3 linked regions of the Saccharomyces cerevisiae S288C genome follow. Changing the gene in region 2 together with the main gene of any one other region gives a genetic interaction. Each region holds a gene or a part of one and is shown on either strand. Other genes may lie near its edges.

Evidence for each region.
Region 1: mutations in COG7 (region 2) and ARL1 together harm fitness more than expected from each alone (negative genetic interaction), as found in Saccharomyces cerevisiae (5 studies listed by BioGRID, with this or other methods).
Region 3: mutations in COG7 (region 2) and TLG2 together harm fitness more than expected from each alone (negative genetic interaction), as found in Saccharomyces cerevisiae (5 studies listed by BioGRID).

What each region holds. Positions count from the first base shown.
Region 1 is NC_001134.8:567,224-570,075, reverse strand, and holds ARL1 (Arf family GTPase ARL1), read left to right. Parts: upstream 1-1,649; coding exon 1,650-2,201; downstream 2,202-2,852. Other genes in the region: TYR1 (prephenate dehydrogenase (NADP(+))), read left to right, coding at 1-234; UBS1 (Ubs1p), read right to left, coding at 391-1,224; EXO5 (Exo5p), read right to left, coding at 2,596-2,852. UniProt on the Saccharomyces cerevisiae protein: Recruits golgins such as IMH1 to the Golgi. Can bind and hydrolyze GTP. May be involved in trafficking events within the endosomal system.
Region 2 is NC_001139.9:489,168-492,178, forward strand, and holds COG7 (Golgi transport complex subunit COG7), read right to left. Parts: upstream 1,381-3,011; coding exon 541-1,380; downstream 1-540. Other genes in the region: calcium-transporting ATPase PMC1, read left to right, coding at 1-275; RPN14 (Rpn14p), read right to left, coding at 1,536-2,789. UniProt on the Saccharomyces cerevisiae protein: Acts as a component of the peripheral membrane COG complex that is involved in intra-Golgi protein trafficking.
Region 3 is NC_001147.6:290,376-294,113, forward strand, and holds TLG2 (t-SNARE syntaxin TLG2), read right to left. Parts: upstream 1,700-3,738; coding exon 506-1,699; downstream 1-505. Other genes in the region: TOS7 (Tos7p), read left to right, coding at 1-178; ESC8 (Esc8p), read left to right, coding at 2,154-3,738. UniProt on the Saccharomyces cerevisiae protein: t-SNARE that functions in transport from the endosome to the late Golgi and on the endocytic pathway.

The sequences.
Region 1 (2,852 bases), on a different chromosome or scaffold from region 2:
GCTATCCATGATAAATCATTCATAAAAGATGATTTAGAATTTGTTATTTCGGCTAGAGAATGGAGCTCGGTTGTTTCTTTTGCCAATTTTGATATATACAAAAAGCAATTTCAGAGTGTTCAAAAGTTCTTTGAGCCAATGCTTCCAGAGGCTAATCTCATTGGCAACGAGATGATAAAAACCATTCTGAGTCATTCTAGTGACCGTTCGGCCGCTGAAAAAAGAAATACATAATGTTTTTAATGCTGATTTCCTATAATATTAGGCCTTCTTTTGTGAAAAGGAGTATATTTATATAACTGAATAAAAATATATATTGTGACAAATGCCCATGCAAAAAATCGTGAAAAAAGGAAGAAAGTTCTACTATTCTATGTAAAAATAAACCCATTAGATTTTTTTCCTCTTTGTGTAATGCTCACTACCGCGATTATCGTTCGTTTCATCTGGACATGCCAACGTTCTTGACCTTTTAGAACTTACGACCGGATGAATACTGTCATCATCACATGCAAGTAAGTTTTTGGTCATAAAGTCGATAGCATTGTAGTCATGTGTCCTTTTGTTAACGTTATTATTGTTGAGAGTAGATAACATACTAGACTTTCCTATGCTGCTGTTAGTATAAGGGTTCTTGCTGTTGTCTTGTGCGTGAAAGGTGTGGCTTTGAGCATTGTAAGAGGACATAAATTCATTGACACTGCCACCATTACTATTGCTGATATTATGATTTTTGGAATAGCTCTTTACTATAGAGTAATCACCTGGTTGTAAAGTACCTATCAGTTCCGGAAAATAAGATTTAAAGTCCTTATATATAATCCTATTCCACGCCCTGTTGAATTTTACCGTTGACGGTGAATACTGTAAGTCTTCCGTTGCTTGAATATGAAAAAGCGGTTGCCATATGTGGAAAAGTAAATCCTGTAATCCCAAGTCTTTCAATAAAAGATAGTTTAAGTGTGTCATCGAAACCGTTCTGTTAATTGGAAAGCAACAATTTGGAGACAGACATTTCATGATGATATATGGATCCTGGTCGTTTCCGCCAATATAAAGTAGTAGATATACTTCCAAAGAAGTCCTGGGCTCGTACATTACCACGTGCCAAAGATGTAAGTCTGAATCATGTGGCCTTACATGAAAAAGACCTTGGGTCTTCTCAGGATGGCGCATAAAATATTTCCAATCCTTCAGCAATTTCCTTGTTAAAGAGTAAGCCATAATTATTAGCTTTTTGATTAAAATATAAAAAAATCTGTTTAGCTCTTATATCGCCTCCTCGCACAAAATCACGACAAAGGCAACGTTAGATTGATGCTCTCAAAACATACTAAGAATGTGTTCTATGATATATATGGGAAGAGTAGGTTAAATATTTCTTATGACAATAACAAAACCCACTGCATCGTACAGGACGGGTAACAGAGCCCTTTCCAATTGAAATTTTGAATAAAACTATTTTGCCTATAAAAGTTAGATTTACGACAATTAATATTAGGCAGAATGTTCTCGGAACTTTCAAGTAGTAAAGGATTGCGTGGTTCATTTGTATTTACGAAACGGTGAGTAATAAGGTTTCTAAAACCAAAGGAAAAATAAAGAAAGATCTAAGAAGAAAGTTCCAGTAAAGTGAGTTATAGATCAAGATGGGTAACATTTTTAGTTCAATGTTTGACAAACTATGGGGTTCAAACAAAGAATTGCGTATATTGATTTTGGGTTTGGATGGTGCAGGTAAAACTACCATCTTATATCGTTTACAAATTGGCGAAGTAGTCACTACAAAGCCAACCATTGGTTTCAATGTAGAGACGCTAAGTTATAAAAACTTAAAATTGAACGTCTGGGATCTTGGTGGTCAAACAAGTATCAGGCCCTACTGGAGGTGTTATTATGCAGACACTGCTGCAGTTATTTTCGTTGTTGATTCGACTGATAAAGATCGTATGTCTACAGCCTCTAAGGAACTTCATTTGATGTTACAGGAAGAAGAATTGCAAGATGCAGCACTGCTGGTTTTTGCAAATAAACAAGACCAACCGGGTGCATTAAGTGCCAGTGAAGTCTCCAAAGAACTGAATCTTGTAGAATTGAAGGACAGAAGTTGGTCTATCGTAGCATCCAGTGCAATTAAAGGCGAAGGTATTACCGAAGGTTTAGATTGGTTGATTGATGTTATAAAAGAGGAACAGTTATAGCGATAAAGATTTGCAAAAAAAAAGTGTAGATGCATACTTTTTAAATGGCATTGAATATACATATAATTTGTTTTGTAACTGAATTATCAAGGAGCTCTATCCAAACATAATAGAGTTAGTAAGTGTATACATGTTTCTCTTTGGGTTTTAATTCTAAAGGCAATTACATCGTTCCGATGAATGAGAAGGCCGCATTAAAATACCTAATGACCTCTTAATGAAAGTTGCATATATACATTTAAATTAAATTGTCATTTCAATTCCGATTTATTGAAACAGGACGTCCGAAAGCAGAAACAGATTTATGTGCTTAATAACCCAATAAAGGACTTCAATGTATTCACGAAACAACACCCTTTTAATAACTAGAATAAATAATGTTACAATACCTACACTACTTCATACTTGATTCAAGAATAATTTTTTTTAATTCTTTCCCTAGATCAATAAGTTTCAATTCATTTTTATTTTTCCAAGAACAAACGTGTCTGTAGTCACAAAACTTACAGTATGTGTTGAAGTTTTTTTGAGTAGGCTCAATTGGATGCATATCTCTGCCACCAAACCAAACCATTGCAGAATCATGGGCATGGGTTCCCAGTTTCAAGGGATCATATGGGAAGATGATATTGTGGAAATTATCGTTATGGT
Region 2 (3,011 bases):
TGTTTTTTGGTGGCGCACCATTTTCTATTGCCAGACAAACCAAATCAATGTGGATAACCGCGGTACTGTGTGGTATGTTGTCTCTAATCATGGGGGTGCTAGTGAGAATCTGCCCCGATGAAGTAGCAGTGAAGGTATTTCCGGCTGCTTTCGTTCAAAGATTCAAGTACGTATTTGGACTCGAGTTCCTCAGAAAAAACCATACTGGAAAACACGACGATGAAGAAGCGCTGTTGGAGGAATCTGATAGTCCAGAGTCCACCGCCTTTTATTAATAGACGCGCTCTATATGTTTATACAAATGTAAGTGACCAAATGAAAAGATGTGTGTAATAGTTATATTTTCAAAATTGTACACTATATTATATAATCAATAAAAAGAAACTATCTGAAATAGCATGTCCTCCTAAACAAATTCCTTTTTACCCTTTTATGCATTACAAGTGGACCAAAAGGACTGGAAATGGTAAAAAGAAATAAGAATTTAAACATGCTATAAATTTCTTTTGTTAATTGCAAATTTTTTGTTTTTATCACCGATTATGATATCATACCATCGTCAATATTCTTGGTTGATAAATAACTTTGTGCTTTTGATTTTATGCTCTCCGAAAAGTTGCTATACTCAGCAAAGAACTTATCTAGGCCTTTAAACAGACATTTCAGTTCAGAAAGTGAATCAATTCTCCCAATCAAATCCTTGTTTGTTTCATCTTTAGCCTCGTTATCAATCGCAGAGCTTAAAGATTCATCGATTGTATCCTCTAATGCTTTCAATGATGTTCTAAAATCTGTTATCGAAAGATCTGTCCCCGTGCTGGTTGTATTATTTTCTCTAACTGTCGAAATATTCGTAACGGTCCTAACTTGTTCCAGGTAATATACCACTTTTTCAATTCTCTCCTTAATCAACATTAAACTTTGCAGTTGTTGCCTCACATTGGTATTGCGATTATTTTCGTTATCTAGATCGCTTAGTTTCTCAGTTACATTATGCATTCCTGTTTCTAATGCTCTTACAGCACTTGCCAACGTATCTAAGTAATATTCAAGCTTCGATGATTTTAAGGATTCAGTAGAATACAATGAGGAATCGTTCTGTTCTGCTTCTTTGTGATACCTAGAAGATGCCCAAGTTCTTGGTAACGTTTGAGATAATTTATCCAAATTCCATATGGTGCTTTCCAACTCTTTTGTAAGGTTCTTTGTGTAAAAATCCAACCTGGTTAATAGCAATGAGGATACTGATTGCGTTTGAATCTGATCTTCGTTTAAGGCATTTGATAAGAGTATATCAACGAATGCATGGGGAACGAACTCCTCATCAAAAAACATACTCAATATATCATCATCATCACCCGTAATTGTCAACTCTACCATATTCTGCTTAGTTTGGCCTTCTTGTTCTTAGTGAATTGTTCTATTTTAGACATATTTCATATGGAAATAAAATGCATTATCACCCTCAAAGCGCATTACGCCAAGCTCATGCAGCGAAGTGAACTTTTTTGAAAAAGTTACTAGTACGAAAGAGGTTAAGGATTACTTAAGTTATACAAAGCGCAGAAGTTGTTTTTTCCAACTTCAAGCACCTCCCCATTTGATTCATCATCAGAAACGTAACAGAATTGGCTGACCTCATCGTCATTGGAAACTAAAAAGGTGGGCGTCTCAAATTCAATAGCGGGCCGTTCACTTTCTGGGTCTGAAATAATGTCAAGCTTAATACTGGTGTCGAATCCAGAAGATACAAATAAGGCTCCGGCTGCAAAGTAGACATTGTTTATTGGGGTGCCTTCATTAATTAAAAACTCACCAACTGGGCATTCCGGTGATCTTAGATCCCATTGAGCTAGCATTCCATTTTCATATCCGGCATAAATATAGTTTGCATTATTGCCATCGACTGTCAATGAATTACATGAACATGTGAACTTGCTTGGGAGTTGAATAGTTTGCTCTTTGGAAAATACATTATGTACAGTAATAACACCAGAAACGTGACCAGCAATCACATATTTTCCATATGTTCCAAACTCTAGATTATTTTTCTTGGAAGTAGAAATTTCATGTAATTGTCTGTCTGTCCCTACGAACAGCGCTATGCTGTTAACACCATCATGCGGGTTTTCTTTTCTGTTAAACGTGTGAATTGTCGTTCCTGTGCCGCACTCCCAAAGGCGAATTGTACCATCCAAAGAGGCAGAGAGCACATTCCTTCCTCGGTCTATTATGGCAATATCTGTGACTGTCGCCCTGTGTCCAATTAACGTGCGAGGATTTGAGCCGTCTTTTACTGACCAGATCTTTAATTGCATATCCTGTGAACTAGATATCAAAGCTTCACCGCTTGGAAAAAACTTTAGTTTTGTTATTTCACTAACGTGAGCTTGGTCAATTTCTCTTTGAAGGTTGAAATTTGAATCCAATACTTTAATATCGCCTTCTGTAGTGCCTAATATGAACCGTCTCATCTGAAGTTTAGCTGTGTCTACGGCAGTATAATCCGCCCTCTTGAGCATCTTTGAACCATCTCTTATGATAGTATTGAATAAAAAATCATGTCCATCCAACCGCGCCTTGTATAAGTGGGAGCCAACCTTTTCAAATGTATTTCCTTTGCCTGCATCTACACCCCTGCTATTTCCTAACACTACTATCTTATGCTCCTTGATTTCATTTAGGTTTTTGTCAACATTGATGTAAAATTCATCGTCATTTTCATCATTTTCTTCCAGAACAGCTTTAAAATCATACTGGATATGAGCAACTGTGATGGTCTTAGTCATTGTCGTTTCTATTGTACTTCGCTATTTCTTTTTACTTTCTGCTCTTAGGGTTGAAAACTTAATTTTTCGAAGCTTCTTTTGCCGATTTCTAGATTATTCGCCCATCCTGACGCCTGTAATATGTCATGTTAAAAACATCACAAAAGTTAATAAGGTTAACTGAGCCTTATTCCCAAATCCTGACAAGGACAAATGCCATTTTTAATGTGCAAGAAAAAGGTT
Region 3 (3,738 bases), on a different chromosome or scaffold from region 2:
CCCAAACCAAGTGCCACAGCACAGAAATCCGGTACCAGGCGTCGGTTTTGCTCCGAATCCTTTACCAAACCAAAGCCCGATAACACAAGGATATAAGCCTGCCTATAAGAGGAGAATGCAAAACAAAAACTTGCCCCGAGCTACTACTTCACTGAACAATCCTTACGGATTTAGGTAAAAAAAGAAAAATGAAGGTTCTTTTTTTTTTTTTATATTCTACAAATCACAATAACCACCAACTTGTATTAAACCATATTTTATCATCTTCAGGAACTACTTATGCACAATATTCGTTCGCCAGTCTTTACTTGCGGTTCAATTTTATCCCATATAAATTTGTATTTTATTATCATACTACATACTTTATTGAAATCATATATTAACCTTTTCACTTTTCTCAAATAGAACGAGCAACAGGTCATATGAACGCTGACTAAATCTCTCAATTTTCTTCAAAGCATATTATAGTTCAAAATCGCGATGCGGTACCGTGAAAGTTTTGTCATCAAAGTAGGTCATCCAAAGCATCATTCTCAGATTCTGTTACTTCAACGATACTCGGCAAGTTGCTCTCTTCGTCATTAATATGGGTATTACTGCCGTCATCATGACTGTTATTAACTGTTTTATTATCATCATTGTTGTACTTGTTGCTACCATTATTACGACCACCACTGCCACCGCCATGTGGTTTCAACATAACAAAGAAAAAGAGCGCTATTACGCACAATGTTAGTAATAAAATGACTTTACATTTTTGAGTTCTCTTCTGGTAGTGTGTTGCTTTATTCAACTCTTTATCTGCACTTTTTAGCTCTACCACTGTATTTTCCAGATTATAATCAATCCTGTCCACAATAGTCCCCTGGTCAACAACCAAATCTTGCATTTCCCTGAAAATAGTGCTCACTTCTAATACACCCCTTGCCAACTGAGTAATTTCTTCGTCACGTTCTCTCAAATATGCTTCTGCAGAAGTGTCATGAAGCTGTTGCTGTCTCTGCAACGTCCTTTTTGAATAGTCTTCAATATCGAGGCCCTCTCTCTTCTCTCTTGCTGCCTCCTCTTCCTCATCATCTAATAATAGCGTGTTCTCTGCACTGGCCTTATTGCGGATAGGTTTCAAATCATCCTTGTTCAAGAATTTCAAGTAATTATTTTGTAATACTCTGAACTTATTACTTTCAGTTTGTATCTTTTCTGCATAGATCTTCTGTAGATTATCTAGTATAATCAGCTCTTCTCGACTTAATTGCTTACCATCCACAAATTGAGAGTTGTATATGGTCTTTAATCGTTTCATAACAGCGTAACATTTCTGCAGCATCTGAATTACTTTGAAACTTAGATCTTCAATCAGCGCCTCATCATGACTCTTGTCTTCAAAGCCAGGTAACGAATTCTTCCTATAAACCTTCGCCAACTGCTCACTTAACCGTCTCACCTCCAGAAGATAATCATCAACATCCTGCGCTATATCAATAAATATGGGTGGTAACGCATCACTGTGATTCTCATGCTTGTTTTTTCGTTCATCTGTCAATCTGGCCGATATATCGTGAGACATATTCATCATCGGGTATGTACCCATTTCAATATCTTGATCATCGCCCAAGGGTGCTTTCCCAGATGAGAAAGTTATGTTATGAGGGAAAGTCCTACGGTATGATAAAAATAAATTAGTTCTATCTCTAAACATGTTTGTAACGACTGCCTAGATCACAAAGCGATAAAATGTACATCAATTGGAGACTTTCCTGTCTTGCCGTACTTATAGTCTATTCTGCTATAATCTATACGCACTCACTTTACACCTTAAAAGCCCAATACAAACCGGTCCAACAATTATAATTCATCTATAGGGCATATACAAAAAAAAAAGGTAGGTGTAAAAGATAATAAAATACAACCCTATTAGCTTTGATAAAAAATTAGTAGGGTTAGAATGTCATATGGTAGGGTGATATAAACGCGTGAACTTTACGCGTTTATATGTACTAAGTTATTTTCGGTATTAGAGAATACCATATCAACGACTAACTCTTAAGCTTTCGATTGTATGAGCTGAAGAAACGGCCTGCTCATTACCAGGATATCTCTTTTTTTTAGACATCAAACAAGAAAATAAGGAACAAGAAATTTGAGGTACAATAATGACAGAAATTATTGATTTAGACTTGGTCGATGACTTTATCAAGAAACCTATGGTCAAACAACAGAAAAACCAGTCTTCAAAGCCTAGGGTAAAAAGAAGGGGTCAGTTGACCTTTGATGATTTCAGAAACATCAAAATTGTAGAAGAACCTGTTGTACTTTCTCACAATAGTTCAATTGACGAATCACTGGATGCTGCTACCCAAAATACTAAAAAGCGGGAGAAATATGAAGGTACCTGTGATGAAGAAATGAAAACTAAAGAAATGGAGGCAAATATGGCAAGCAAATATTCTAATATCAAAACACATTCGAACGACACTAACAAGGTAGAGTCGATCAGTGAACACACTACTTCTAATAATAGACCATTGAATACATTAAACTGGTCACCAAATATTCCTTTACGATATTCTGACTTTGCAAAGTTTATGAGTGATGAGACGGTAACGGAAAGCAATTGGGCGCCTCCCCTTTGCACCCCTCTCCCATATGCAGGCGATGTTATGAAGATCCTTTCTTTTATCGTCAAATTTAAATGGGTGTTCAGCGACGATCTACTGAACCTGTCATTTCAAGATGTGGAGATAGGACTAGAATTAAAGGTGGCTGGCCATTCTGCGAAGAATATTCGAATTTGTCAGGATAAAATGAATCTACTATTTTGCAGTCTTTTGAGGTTATTATTCTGCTCCGAGAAAAGAGCAGACAACCAAACTCATAGAAATTTCACGCTAAAAAGATTTCTTAGTTTGAAAAATCCATATGGAAAACTGGTTGGCAAACTCAGAAGCTTAATCCAGGAGTGGGGCTTACCAAAAGAATGGCGTGGTAATAGTGATATTTTATCTACTCTAAATTTTAATGGAGGTGGTTTGTTGACGATGGAACCATTAGATAGAATAATATTATTGAGATGCATGATCGATTGGAATTGTAGCTACTCCGCACTTTTCCATAATGAAATTCAAAGGCTCACTCACTTGAAAGGCGATACAGGGTTCAACCATCAAACTTTTCACGCCAGCAGGTTTGCTATGTGCGGGGCCAATAACATATTAGATAGTTGTGAAGTTTTATGCTCTTTGATGAGTCAAAAGTTGGAAAATCGAAAGAAAAGGAAGCCCAGCGACAAAGGAAAACTGAGTAAGATCAATAGTCAGATGAAATTTCTAAAGGGTGTTCGGAAATCATTGAGCGAAAAAGTAACTACAGACAGATTACGAGCTGCAGTTAAAATAAATGAAGAATGGGGTGAATATTTTGCAAACGAATTTACACACACACCAATTGATGATCCCACCGTAGACGAAATTTACAAGTTAAGGACATCAGAGTTTATGATAGCGAGAATTCCACGAGTTGGAGATTTCTACTTACCACCATTCTGGATTGGCAACGAATGCAGTTCAGTAAACACTAGTTACAGTTTCAATGACATGTCAACTTATCTTAATTACTTCGTAAAATTCAAAGAGGAGGGTACAAAAATACTGCCTGCAAAAACCGCACAAAATGAAAACAAGTGTCAACTTAAACTTATATATAGGAACACTCCTGCATGTATCCGTAATTTACAGTTCA